Neodiprion lecontei: one gene and its partner. The protein of the gene in region 1 interacts with the protein of each later gene in a pairwise test. Links are inferred from orthologs where the notes say so. Each region holds a gene or a part of one and is shown on either strand. Other genes may lie near its edges.

Region 1 (7,011 bases):
TAAAATATCCATACATTATAAAGAATATATACATTTGATGCTTGGTAAAATTGTTAAGCTGAAAAATTATGCAGTTCACTATTCAATTTAACGAATTAGTAAGTTATTTTGAAGAAAAGGTAGCCACTGTTATTTTCCGCCGAATTTATTTTACTTTCTGCAAGTTTTTAAAATTAGCTTTCTTGTTTTACGCAGTAATTTGCAAGAAGAATAGATTCATTTAAGTATCAGCAGAAATGAAATAGAAACTTAATTCTGTTGAAACCAAATTGAATATAAATAATATTTACTCGAATGTTATAATTACTCAGTAACAAATACCTATTTATTTTTACTTTCCTCGCGTATGAAATATAAATATACAATATATTATTTTATATAAGTGCAAAATATCTGTAATCTTTGTATAACAAACTAGGTAAGAACTTCAAAATTTCGCAAAAAAATTATTCTTTCATCTCAGTATGTGTTTCCAATATAAACTTTAGTTTACTACGGTTTTTTTTTTTTAGAAAATGAAAACTGAGAAGCCCTTGCATAATAATGTATGGACATAGATCATTTTTGTAATGTAAATTTCTATGTTTGCACAAAAATAAACTGTTATATTATTATACATAATGATATACAAAGGTGTATATAGGTAAGTCTATATTCATAGAAAAGAAAATAATATTGTAAAGAATCATAAAAACGTGTACATGAACTATAAATTACATAGAATAATTTGTAATTACTGTACAATGTATGTATCTATGTGTATAAGTTCTGATTCAACTGGTTCTGTTTTGTTTGCTGGGCAAAGTAACATTTACCTTGCGAATAATACGCATAAACAATTACTGTAAAAAATATTAATTATAATTATGGAAAAGTTTTATAGTCAGAATTATAATTATGTTACAGAACAATTATTGGTTTTCAAAATCTTGTCCTTCGCCCGATCTCCAGGAGATTGCCTTCTGTTTATTATCAGACTTTATAAAACTTAACAAGAAGACTACTTAAATAACTGAGCATGATCTTTTGAAATTGACATCACGAGCTGTATGATTCATTAGGATTATAGCTGTGAAAATAGGTACAATATTTACACCTGTATGTAGGACAATTTCCTTAGAAAGGAGCATGCTAATGGCTTGCCAAGTTTCATAATTGAGGTGTATCGACTGCATACCAAGCAATTTTTACATAGCATTTTGCACTTACATTCTAATTGTCATATGCCAAGGATGCACGGTACACTTTTCAATTATGGTTCATTAGGACTCACCAGTGAGTTCGTCACTCTGGTTACATTCGTTATAATAAAAAATGTCCATTCTGCTTTAATCTATCGCATAAAGTGTAAAAAAAAACAAAAGAAAAAAAAAACCTTGTTACTTGGTGCAATCTTAGATATAGTCTATAAACATCGTCATAATATTATGCTATAGTATGGTATTACTGTCATCCAAATAAATATGTAAACTATATTACTATAAATGACCTAATTTGTTGGACGATACAAGTTTATATTAAATAAAATAGCAATACATGCAATTAGCTCGACATAGATTCCTTCTGCACTGACCAAAAAAGAAAGCAGAGAACGCATGTAAGCGTGAAATGATTGCCAAATTTTTATAATTTGTGGCGTTCACAAGTCTTACAATTTAGTACCTGAAATGCAACACGGCAGATATTCATACAATCGGTTTGGTCTGCAACACTGTGTACTTTAGTTGTCGCTATTATTTTAGTAAAATTTGTTATAATTAATACAGATAATCAATAAAACAAAGATTATGAAATACTATTTGTCATGTTATATCGCAGCTGTATTACATGTTGGTATTTCTATTGCATCCAACGTAAAATGTTTGTATCTATTGTAGTATCATGTATGAGAATAAGTTAATACGCAGTTGGTACGAGCTTGTTGAATTATCCATCTTACGATACCAAGTTAGTAATTAGTTTCCTACAAATGTCCATTGAGCAATCTCTGTATCTTCTGATCATTTTTCATTATCCCAGCTTTTACTTGGCGTATTTTATCCAACTGAACTTTGATATTACCTTCGATGTCTTTGAGAGTTCCTTTCATGGGTTCTATAAACTCCTCTGTTGAGCTGTCATAACAATAACAAAATTTATGCGTATTTTATATAATTATTTGGAATATTATTACTGCTTTAACAAGAGTGCGACAGTGCTGTTTAAATATTATATAATTTTTTAATACTGAGTAATTATAGGTGCGCTGATGAATGGAGATAGTTGTCGACTATTATTTACTCACATTTGCTCCTGGCGTAATTGTTCACTCAATTGATTATATTGACTTCGCCATTCATGGAGTTCCCTCTGCATCATCTCTACATCTTCCTGTTAAGCAAATACAGGTCGTTGAATGCATGCAGGTTGAAAAGACTGTATCTTTGCAAATGAATAAAATGGACGTAATTTTCTGCAGCCTTGTATGGTCTCAATCAAAATGCTATATAACTACAAAAGTAATTTTTTACCTGTAAATAATCCAAGAGTTTACCCAGTGGGTTTGTCGCTCGCGTCAAAGTTTGAATAGAACTTCGCAATTTATCAATTTCTTTTATTGCTGTTTCACGATCTCTTCTTGATCCTGCTTCCCATTCCTATAACAATATACACGTGAATTTTATTCTATGGATTTGGAAATATACTCAGATACTACTGGTCTGAGATACTGGTGCATCAGAAGATTGATTTGAGAAAGTAGCGGGGACTTGAAAACTTAGCCGGTTAAACGTGATGTTCAGTATGTGATCAGATATTCAAATATGCTCACAATCTCCACCTTCTTGGGCATAACATCGACGTTGTCCGTATTGATTAACTCTCTTTGAGTCTCCAAAATTTGAGCTACCAGATGTCCATGTTCTTCCGAAAGCTGACTTTCAGTCCTAGCTAATCCATCGATGTTTAGGGAATCCCCACTCCCACCTGTCTCCATTACAACCATATCATCAACGTCATCTTCCTCTTTTGTGTCAAAATTTTCTACGATTACATTAACAGTGCCCATTGGAGTTCTGAAATGAAAAAAAAGCACATTAGAAAAAAATACATATGTGTTAATGTCTAATTACTTTATTATCAATAACCAATGATCCTTAGGATTACGTTATATCTTCATTTAAAATGAATTCAGTTTTTGATCGCATCCTAGGAGCTGCAGGTCTAGCGCTCATTGGCCTGGCACTGGGAGGACGCAGTGAAGTTTTTGATCTCACTACTGTCGTCTCAGGAACTCTATAAGCAAACCACAGTAATAGTTTGAAAACTTTACAAACATTGTTTTCGTTTCATTACCAGATTATAAAAACACTATCGAGCTATTCATTAATATTGAACTATATACTTATTAGACTGACATTGCTGTATTTGCAGAATCGTCTGGGGGACCTGCAGGCTTTGGTGGTGGAGAACCTGGATGCTCAAACGTATACTGTTTTTGTAATTTGTTTGGTACTGTATCTGATTTCGATGATTTATGATTTGGTGACAGCAGGCTACTTGCTTCTCTTACTTTGTTCCCAGCTGAAGATTTCGGTTTCGATTCACCTTCTAAGGGAGCTGAGTTTTTTTCTGCACTTCTCTTTGTCCTACCATCAGAATGTGAGCTTCTACGAGAACCATCATCATTCGCGCTTGTTTTTCCCCTTATTTCAGCAGATTGTCTTGTTTCTGGTTCTGATATTCTATCAGGCGGTTGTTCCGTTTGGTTATTACCTTGTTGCGATTTTACTTGCTTGTCTATCGGCGAGTTGGTGTTACGCAACGAAGATTCCGTCATTTTATGAGTAGGTGAATTTGTTGAATCTGATAAAGCAGGTTTGGTTTTTGGGGAGTCTAACGTTCTTGGTGATGAAGGATCTTCCTTGGGTTGAACTGACGCTGAGCGTCTTTGTCGCCTCACCGAAGATGGCCGTTTTTCTTCCTTGGACTAAAAATAATTTAGTTATACAATCATTGGGCGACATTACAAGAGTTATGGATAATATGTTTGTCAAATGACTAAATCTTTTATAAAATCGTCATGGCGGTGTTCAAAACAATGGAAGAAAATACTTTCTTATCGATCAAAGTAAAAAAAGAAAAGGCTCTACGATACAAAAGGTAAACAAAATACGACGCTCAACCTATATCTAAAATAGATTATCTACTCTAACTCCTATATCAACATCTCTTTACCTCAGCAGAAGGAATTTCAACGATCTTTTCTTTTTTATCCCCACCCTTATTTTTTGCTTTATTCTCTTTTTCCTGTTCGTGTAGTTTTTCTCGTCTATTCTCAGCACGGGTTTTAACTTCTTTGGGTGCATTTTTGCTGGTGCTTGTAGACTTTTTCTTTTGATCAATCGGAGGCTTCTCTTTTTCCACTGGTTTTCTAGATTGTGAAGACTGTCTAGACACTGGCTTCTTAGACTCATCTTTAGCAACCAGTTTTGATTTCACTGGCCCCTTAGATCTACCATTACTATTTTTATAGTGCTCTATTGCTTCTGCGCTGCTGATCTATTGTGAAAGATAAACAATTACACAGTGATACCATTTTGAACATTGGGTTTACCATTTTACGAATAACTAGAAATTATTGTGAATACCTTTTTGTCAAGGGCTTTTCCAATCGCTTGCAGTAACTCATTGGTTCGAGTGGGTTCATGTCCAGCGATGATCTTACTGGGTCGTACCATGAGGTTATTTCCAGTAATCAACTCTGAAATGTTTAACTTATTATGTTAGCTATCTAGAATAATCAGGAAAAATATGACCATCTAGATAATTTGTGTCTTCGTTTCACTTACTCACAACGTCAATCAGTTTTGTTAAATACGCAAGCTTGGAGTCTTTGTCTTTTATATTTTCGGAATTCAATTCATCTTCTGTAAAAAGACCATCGAGAAATCCAGTTTCTCTAATTACCTTTAACATTATAAGAACGTTAAGCACAATAAATTAGCAGAATAATTTCAAAGTTTTTATTTTAAATAAGGGTGAGCAATTATGAAAAATGAATTAAATGTAAAAAAGCGCGTAATATTAACTAACAGTATTACCGATGAGACTATATCATGTAGAAATCTAAAAGGTGGTTTCTTTAACAATTTTTCCGTGAGTGGTGGTTTTTTAAAATATTTCCCGAGAATATCTTGAGTTTTTTTAATTACTTCCGGCTTTACGTCTTCCGTCATTTTCTATTATATATTATGGAAATAAAATACGACGTTTCAAATGTTGAAATAGATTTGACAGGGCGATGTTGTATACGTATCGGTTGCTGTTGGCGACGGATCACGTGATCAGATCTATAACCACGTGATCTTCCTCCACTGAAATGCCTTCCTCTCGTCACGCGCAGGGCAGCCAACATTACAAACTCGAATTGAATTGTGAAAAAAAGCTTAGCGATAAAGAAAAATACGATATTTCTTATAAAATTAACGATGGTTATAGCATTTGAAAATAAAATTCCCTTTTGGCTCATGTTATTTTCATCAAAATATCTTCGGAATTGAGAATCTTTGCTTCACAAAGGCGTGCCCCTTTATGTAGGCCATTTTGTAATGCGTCGTGTCCCAAGGTGGACGTTCCATCAGGGGCAAATGTTCGTGTTTATACATTTTTTCCCAGTCTTACTTTAATATTGACACATTATTTATTCCAAACTGAAACACAAACTGGTATTGCTGTTTAGATTTAGGATAATAAAGTGTTTTGTACATGAAACAAACACGCTGAGCAACGTCTAGATCACAGGTATCGTAGTGCGAGGTTGCAAGTAAAGAGATCTGGAAAACCATTGATCATCGCTGCGTCGGATGTCAGGGAGATTCTCTCCCGTTAGACTGAAAGCATGCCGCGTGTTATAGGTAATTACCCGTCCCCGATGATTACCAATCGGTGCCTTTCGTTCATACGTATATTTTGGTTAAATCGACGAATTCACGCCATTATACATGTTGTCTGTTACAGAAATCGTAAAGATAGAACATCCCGTCCCGTCAGGGAATGTCGAGGAGGCTGTTGAACTATTGTTTGGTATGTAGTGGCGTAGTTGCCGAAAGTGATTGTTAATACTGTTATTCTATTACTACGTATCTTTTCTGTAATACAAATAAAATTTTCTACGATAGACGGGTAAACTAACCATCTGTTCAACACCTGTTTGATTTCTATTGTAGGCGACTCACAAAACGAAAATGCCATACAGGCTGCAGATGCTCAGGAGGAGATTGAACTACTCAACGGACAGTGTAAGGATAAAATGAGTGTATTTTTAGCACCTCAAACAATTATTATGTATACGTATATAATTCAATACATGCGTACTAATGTACATTGACATCATAATATACATTGACGTAGAATTTTTATTTAATAACACGAAAGGCGGCTCCTTTGAAATGGTAATAAGTTATTAGGCAAAAAATTGGATACAATTAATTCTTCAATAATAATTGACTCAAAAACATGCAAAAAATATCAGTTATTCTATGTGTCACACAAAGTGGGATTCTAGAATTTGAGATGGCTTTTGCGAATGACGTCACAAGTAGTTTTCGAATCTGATTTACTTACAATGATGAGCATCCCATATTCGATAACATTGTCAAGTAGTTCTTTACTACTAAAGTTGATCAGATATTTTTTTAAATGAGCAATGTAAATATCAATGACTTAGTAAGTTACTGTTACAGATGAAGTTTTTTATACTAATACATGTGTTTCCATTACAGCTGGGTCAGACGAAACTGATCATATAATTGAAATTATAACAGACTACGAATGTGTTACCTGTCGCCGTATATTCAAATCAGAAGATGTAAGTTCAGTTACCATTTCTGTATCCTAATAAGTATGCTGTAACGAGAACTGAGCAAATTAGTATTCCATACCTTTTATTAAAACCAATTTTATGTGATTATACTTAAATTCAACATCAAGCTTTTCTGTGCTAGTCTTTACAACGTAAAGAAAATCTGTGCC
Region 2 (4,954 bases), on another chromosome or scaffold:
TGATATGACATCAATCGCAACGGAGAATAAGAAAAGACCGGCATCACCAATTCCTTTGGCAAACGAAGGTAACATATCCACAGGTGAAGAAACGACGCCAGAATCTAAGCGTCAAAAGACCGAGACTGTCTAGGAAGTTATGCTAAGCTTCACTAACGTATCTCTGCAACCTCTTGAGAGTGACACAATGATAATAATACGGCCGTTGTAAAGTTTTGGAAATCCTGCTGTGTGAAACTTGAATTGCAAAAACGGTAAAAAAAATAAAGGTAAAAACCGACAAAAACTGTGGACTTAATAAATTGAGAAATTGGCGAAATTCTCAGTATAATAGTTATTTTATGATTGAACATACACAGAACGAACGGATGAATGATGAATAATAATAGTAATAGTGTAAAACCGTCACGTCTGGAGGATTGCAATAATCGTTAGTGTTGAACAATGGTGGCAGACTGATTGATTGGAGCAGATTGGGGGCTGACGCTTATAGAGTTTGTTTTAAATTTTTTTTTAATGAGACATTGTTAAATAAATCTGTTGCCTTTCGAGTTTAATGGGTATCTGAGGATCAGAAAACAACATAATATGTTATAGCTTCAGTGTCGCGGCATATTAATATATATGATGCGTGCATGGAACATTTGATTATCGCAAACCGTTGTGTGAAAAAGATGTGGCAAACTTAACGAGAGGAAATGGAATTAGATTCTCCTATCTGCTCCAATCTACTCTTATGATGTGTACTCAACTGAGAGTTCTTCTAGGTTACAGGTGTAATAGGTATGTAACTGTACATATTTATAAATCTAGGATGTAGGATTAATAATAATATTTGTAATTCAATACGACACCATTTCTTATTTTTACTAAATAAAGTTTATTTTTGAATTCCTGGTTACTATATGGTTGTATGGATGGTTGCGTGACTATAATGTTATCTAGTTTAATCTATTTCTCATTATTATTATTCTTATTATAATTATCATTCTTATCATTAATATAATTGCCCTTGACTACGTGTCTACATGAATTAAGTTCAGTGCTGGTAGTAATGAATGAATACTGTTTGCAGTAAATCTTTATGATTATTTTTCTCTTTTAAAATAACTTTATTGTTATAAGAGAATGAAAAAATATACGTTATGTACATTTTTTTTATCTACAAACGTTGATGATGATGATGATAATAATCCAATCTTAATAGGTCTAAGTTGTTGACGTAAAATACAATTTTTTTTCTGTTCTTCGCTTTGAAGCGAAATATGAACGATGTTTAACAATCCACTCGATCATCGAATAAATTGCGGTTCATGGCATCTACTGTAAACTACAAACAAATGAAAAAAAAATAGATAAAAGAGAATCGCCTGTTGTTAATCTTGAATGTCAAAAATTAAATACGGATTGAAGTATTAAATTTGACCGTGTATGTAATAATGAAGAAATGCTCAATAACGAGTAATATTGAACAGTTAAGAGAGGGAAGGCGATCCTTGAACGTGTGCCTTTTCAAATTATATGTGGTGCAGTATGCAGATAGGTTAAATAGAGCCAGTAACCCAAAGCCCGTTTATTTCCGTGTTTAATTATTATGTTATAATTTTATGTAGTCCGTACGTATGTATATATACAGCAATGTATATGTATACACACGCACGGCATACACATCTCGCTATGAGTTTTTCCTTTAAAAATAATTACATCACACATGATTTATGTAATTTTGGGAGAAAAAAAAAAAACTCGTCAATTATTCTATCTATTATTATTCATTGTTTTGGATCTTAATTCCGTTTCTCTTCGTTGTGTAATTACTGTAATTTATCTATATGCTCAGCCCAAATACCACCCTCTTGTATTTTTCATTAATTACACCATCATAATATTGTATACACCAGCTGATAACAGTGTTTATAATTGTATGCTACAATCCTCATTGAAAAAGTCACACGGAATAAAGAATATGCATAAAGGAAATAGAAGATAAATATGAATAATGCCGATAAAAAATTTTAACATCAATTCGCGGTCAATTGCTCTATAGTTTCTAGTTGTTCCAGTTCGATTTTTTTCAATGAATCGTACTGCACCCGTAGCCGCTCCAGTTCCGTTGACTTTTCAATTATAAGAGCCTAGAAATAGAACAAAACACACGCACCGCGTGTTTAGTACATTGTTGTCGTTCGTTGCATACGATAAAATTAATGGTAATGATTGAAAACTTTAATTGTAATTCATGATGTACACCTGAATTTGCTGTCTCTGTGCATCTCTCTGTTTAGCGACTGAGCGCAACAAGTTACGCGCCCCTATAGTCCGCATCTTTTCTTTTTCGACTTCATTCGCCAAATTGTCGACGATCTGAATGAAGTCGTCGGAACTCTTTTGGAACTCTGTTATTTCTAAAAATTTTACCCAGGATTAGAACAATAATTGCACTCGTACTTTATGCTGTACTCCATTCGCTTTCTCGCTCGTTGCTATACGGGGCTATCGAAACGGTTCCTACGATAAATCAATCCATTTTCTTCGGAAAAAAGGACAACCGTTAAATCCGTCGTAATTCATAATGTACAATTTCTATAATGCATTCTACTTGATTCAGTTTATTTTTACACCAGCTCTAATCGAACTTCGAAGTGTGTATAAGGCTAAACATATACGCACACATCAACTTTTTAGTCTGCGTAAAATAATAAAGATGGCAGTCTGCGCGATTTACAAAGTTATAACAAGCAAGGATATTCGTTGATAACGAGCGCGTTGATGGGAATTGTATTTTAATAAACGTCTCGAGGGTTGTGAAATAAATTTTAATAGAGGTAAGTGAATCGAATAAGATTTTAATAACAAGTATATTTTTCTGTATTGATGTTTTTATTATGGACGATTTTAATTGTGTGCATGTGCCATTGGAACCGCTGTCAATCGCTGTCACGCTGATTGATCCCTTTTGTGCTTTTATATCTGCTTGTCACTTACTGGAAACAAAATTCTGACACTCCTCTTTCAATTTATTTGTTTGATTCGATATTTCTGGCTCCAGTACCCGTATCTTGCTCAAATCATCGATGAATAACCCATATTTTCCCAGCGAGTCGGCCATTTTCGTCAAACAGATGTGATTCATGACGTATGCATGTGTATATTGCAATTGCTTTACGCGCAGGTGCCGGGCGAGTTAAGGCGGTACTATGCATTTTCTTAGCCGACCGATAATCTTCCTTCATTACAATTATCTACGACAATTAAGCTATTGCGCGTGTAAAGGAATGGTGAAGTAGACAACATGTATAGCGAAAAGCAGTGAAAGTTTATAAAACCTGCTCAAAACTTGGTTTTCCGGCATTCATAACGGGCTATAATTTTCGGGTGCTGGTCGGTTAAGAAAAACGTCAGCCGGCGTTTTATCGATAACGTTAAATTTTCCCTCCCTTTTGAATGCGCCAGCTAGAAAAAGACAACACGCTTTGTCGGTATGTCAGTTGACGATGTCGGCATTGTAAAATGCATATTAGCCGGTGTAGCTCGCTGTTAAATTTTGTTGAAACACGTATCATCATAAGGCTGACTCTCTTCGTTAGGATATCGTTACCCAAGCCTGTTAACACAAGCGAGTTACACTCATGCATAATGCTCGCATACATTCTCATACGCGTATCATATTCACGTCTCCAACATGGGGCAAAACATATAAATAGTGTTTTTTTTTTTTTTGGTTTATTAAAAGGAATTTTTGTTTAGTGACCATGAGAATATCGAATGAATTGTGCCGCGGATAAGAATTTAATACAATTCGTATAATTAGATAAGACATAGGAAACCATCACGAGGTCGAAATGACTCGATTTGGTTTACAGTGATTATAACCTAAAATCACATCGTATTAAATTCGCTGTTATTGTTGATCAGCGAATCCAACTTGTATTTGTAAATAACCTTAGTTACGCAGGTTTTAATAAAATTTCCGGTCTATTAACAAGCAACGATTCTGTTGCTCATGTCTTAAATGTTGAGTCTGACGCTCGATACAATTAACATATCACCATCATCGTCATCATCCGCGGCCGCGTTAATACCTGGCGGCGAAATCGTTATGTCGGGGGATCACAAAACTGTCATGAAAGGAAACCCGTCGCAGTACGTCAAATTAAACATTGGCGGTTCCCTTCATTACACCACCATTGGCACGCTCACCAAACATGACACTATGTTGCGAGCTATGTTTAGCGGTCGGATGGAGGTTCTTACAGATTGCGAAGGTGAGGAGCCGCTCATGCCTCTTTCCAAAAGGCAATTCCAAATGAAATGGTGTACAAATTTTAAAATCACCCAAGTTCCCTACTTTCTTTTTATTTACTATTATTCGTTTTCACAGGCTGGATCCTAATCGATCGGTGTGGCAAGCACTTTGGCACGATCTTAAACTTTTTGCGGGACGGTTCAGTTCCGCTACCTGAGAGTGTGAAGGAGATGGCAGAGCTGCTGGCCGAGGCAAAGTATTATTGCATCGGCGAGCTGGCTGAGTCGTGCGAACAAGCGCTCCAGCGGAAGGAGCGGGAGGCTGAACCCATCTGCAGGGTTCCACTTATCACCTCCCAACGTGAGCAGCAACTCCTTATCAGCAACACAACAAAACCTGTTGTTAAATTGCTGATTAATCGTCACAACAACAAGTACTCTTACACGAGGTAGGAGACAGATTTAAACAGCTTGGCTTTTTTCGCTTTTTAAAATTTTTTTTGGAAAGCAATCATATGACCCATTCGTTTCTATTTACAGTACATCAGATGACAATCTTTTGAAAAATATAGAACTGTTTGACAAGATGTCGCTCAGATTTAGCGGCAGGGTTTTGTTCATTAAGGACGTAATTGGGTCGAGTGAAATTTGTTGCTGGACTTTTTATGGACATGGTCGTAAGGTTGCCGAAGTTTGTTGTCATTCTATC

The links.
Region 2: the proteins of TRAF3-interacting protein 1 (region 1) and intraflagellar transport protein 20 homolog interact in a two-hybrid assay, tested with the Homo sapiens proteins (2 studies listed by IntAct). The link is inferred for Neodiprion lecontei from reciprocal best matches to the Homo sapiens genes TRAF3IP1 and IFT20.

What each region holds. Positions count from the first base shown.
Region 1 is NC_060263.1:6,630,767-6,637,777, forward strand, and holds TRAF3-interacting protein 1, read right to left. Parts: upstream 5,347-7,011; 5' UTR 5,217-5,346; coding exon 5,082-5,216; intron 4,949-5,081; exon of another isoform or gene 4,948-4,948; coding exon 4,830-4,947; intron 4,742-4,829; coding exon 4,629-4,741; intron 4,540-4,628; coding exon 4,216-4,539; intron 3,968-4,215; coding exon 3,396-3,967; coding exon of another isoform or gene 3,383-3,395; intron 3,274-3,382; coding exon 3,145-3,273; intron 3,054-3,144; coding exon 2,810-3,053; intron 2,637-2,809; coding exon 2,511-2,636; intron 2,371-2,510; coding exon 2,285-2,370; intron 2,115-2,284; coding exon 1,964-2,114; 3' UTR 517-1,963; downstream 1-516. Other genes in the region: zinc finger protein 2, read left to right, coding at 5,879-5,894, 5,998-6,063, 6,207-6,293, 6,762-6,847.
Region 2 is NC_060264.1:1,963,376-1,968,329, reverse strand, and holds intraflagellar transport protein 20 homolog, read right to left. Parts: upstream 3,119-4,954; 5' UTR 3,110-3,118; coding exon 2,986-3,109; intron 2,406-2,985; coding exon 2,251-2,405; intron 2,136-2,250; coding exon 2,022-2,135; 3' UTR 523-2,021; downstream 1-522. Other genes in the region: probable protein phosphatase CG10417, read left to right, coding at 1-133; BTB/POZ domain-containing adapter for CUL3-mediated RhoA degradation protein 3, read left to right, coding at 4,013-4,265, 4,382-4,694, 4,786-4,954. UniProt on the Homo sapiens protein: Part of intraflagellar transport (IFT) particles involved in ciliary process assembly. May play a role in the trafficking of ciliary membrane proteins from the Golgi complex to the cilium.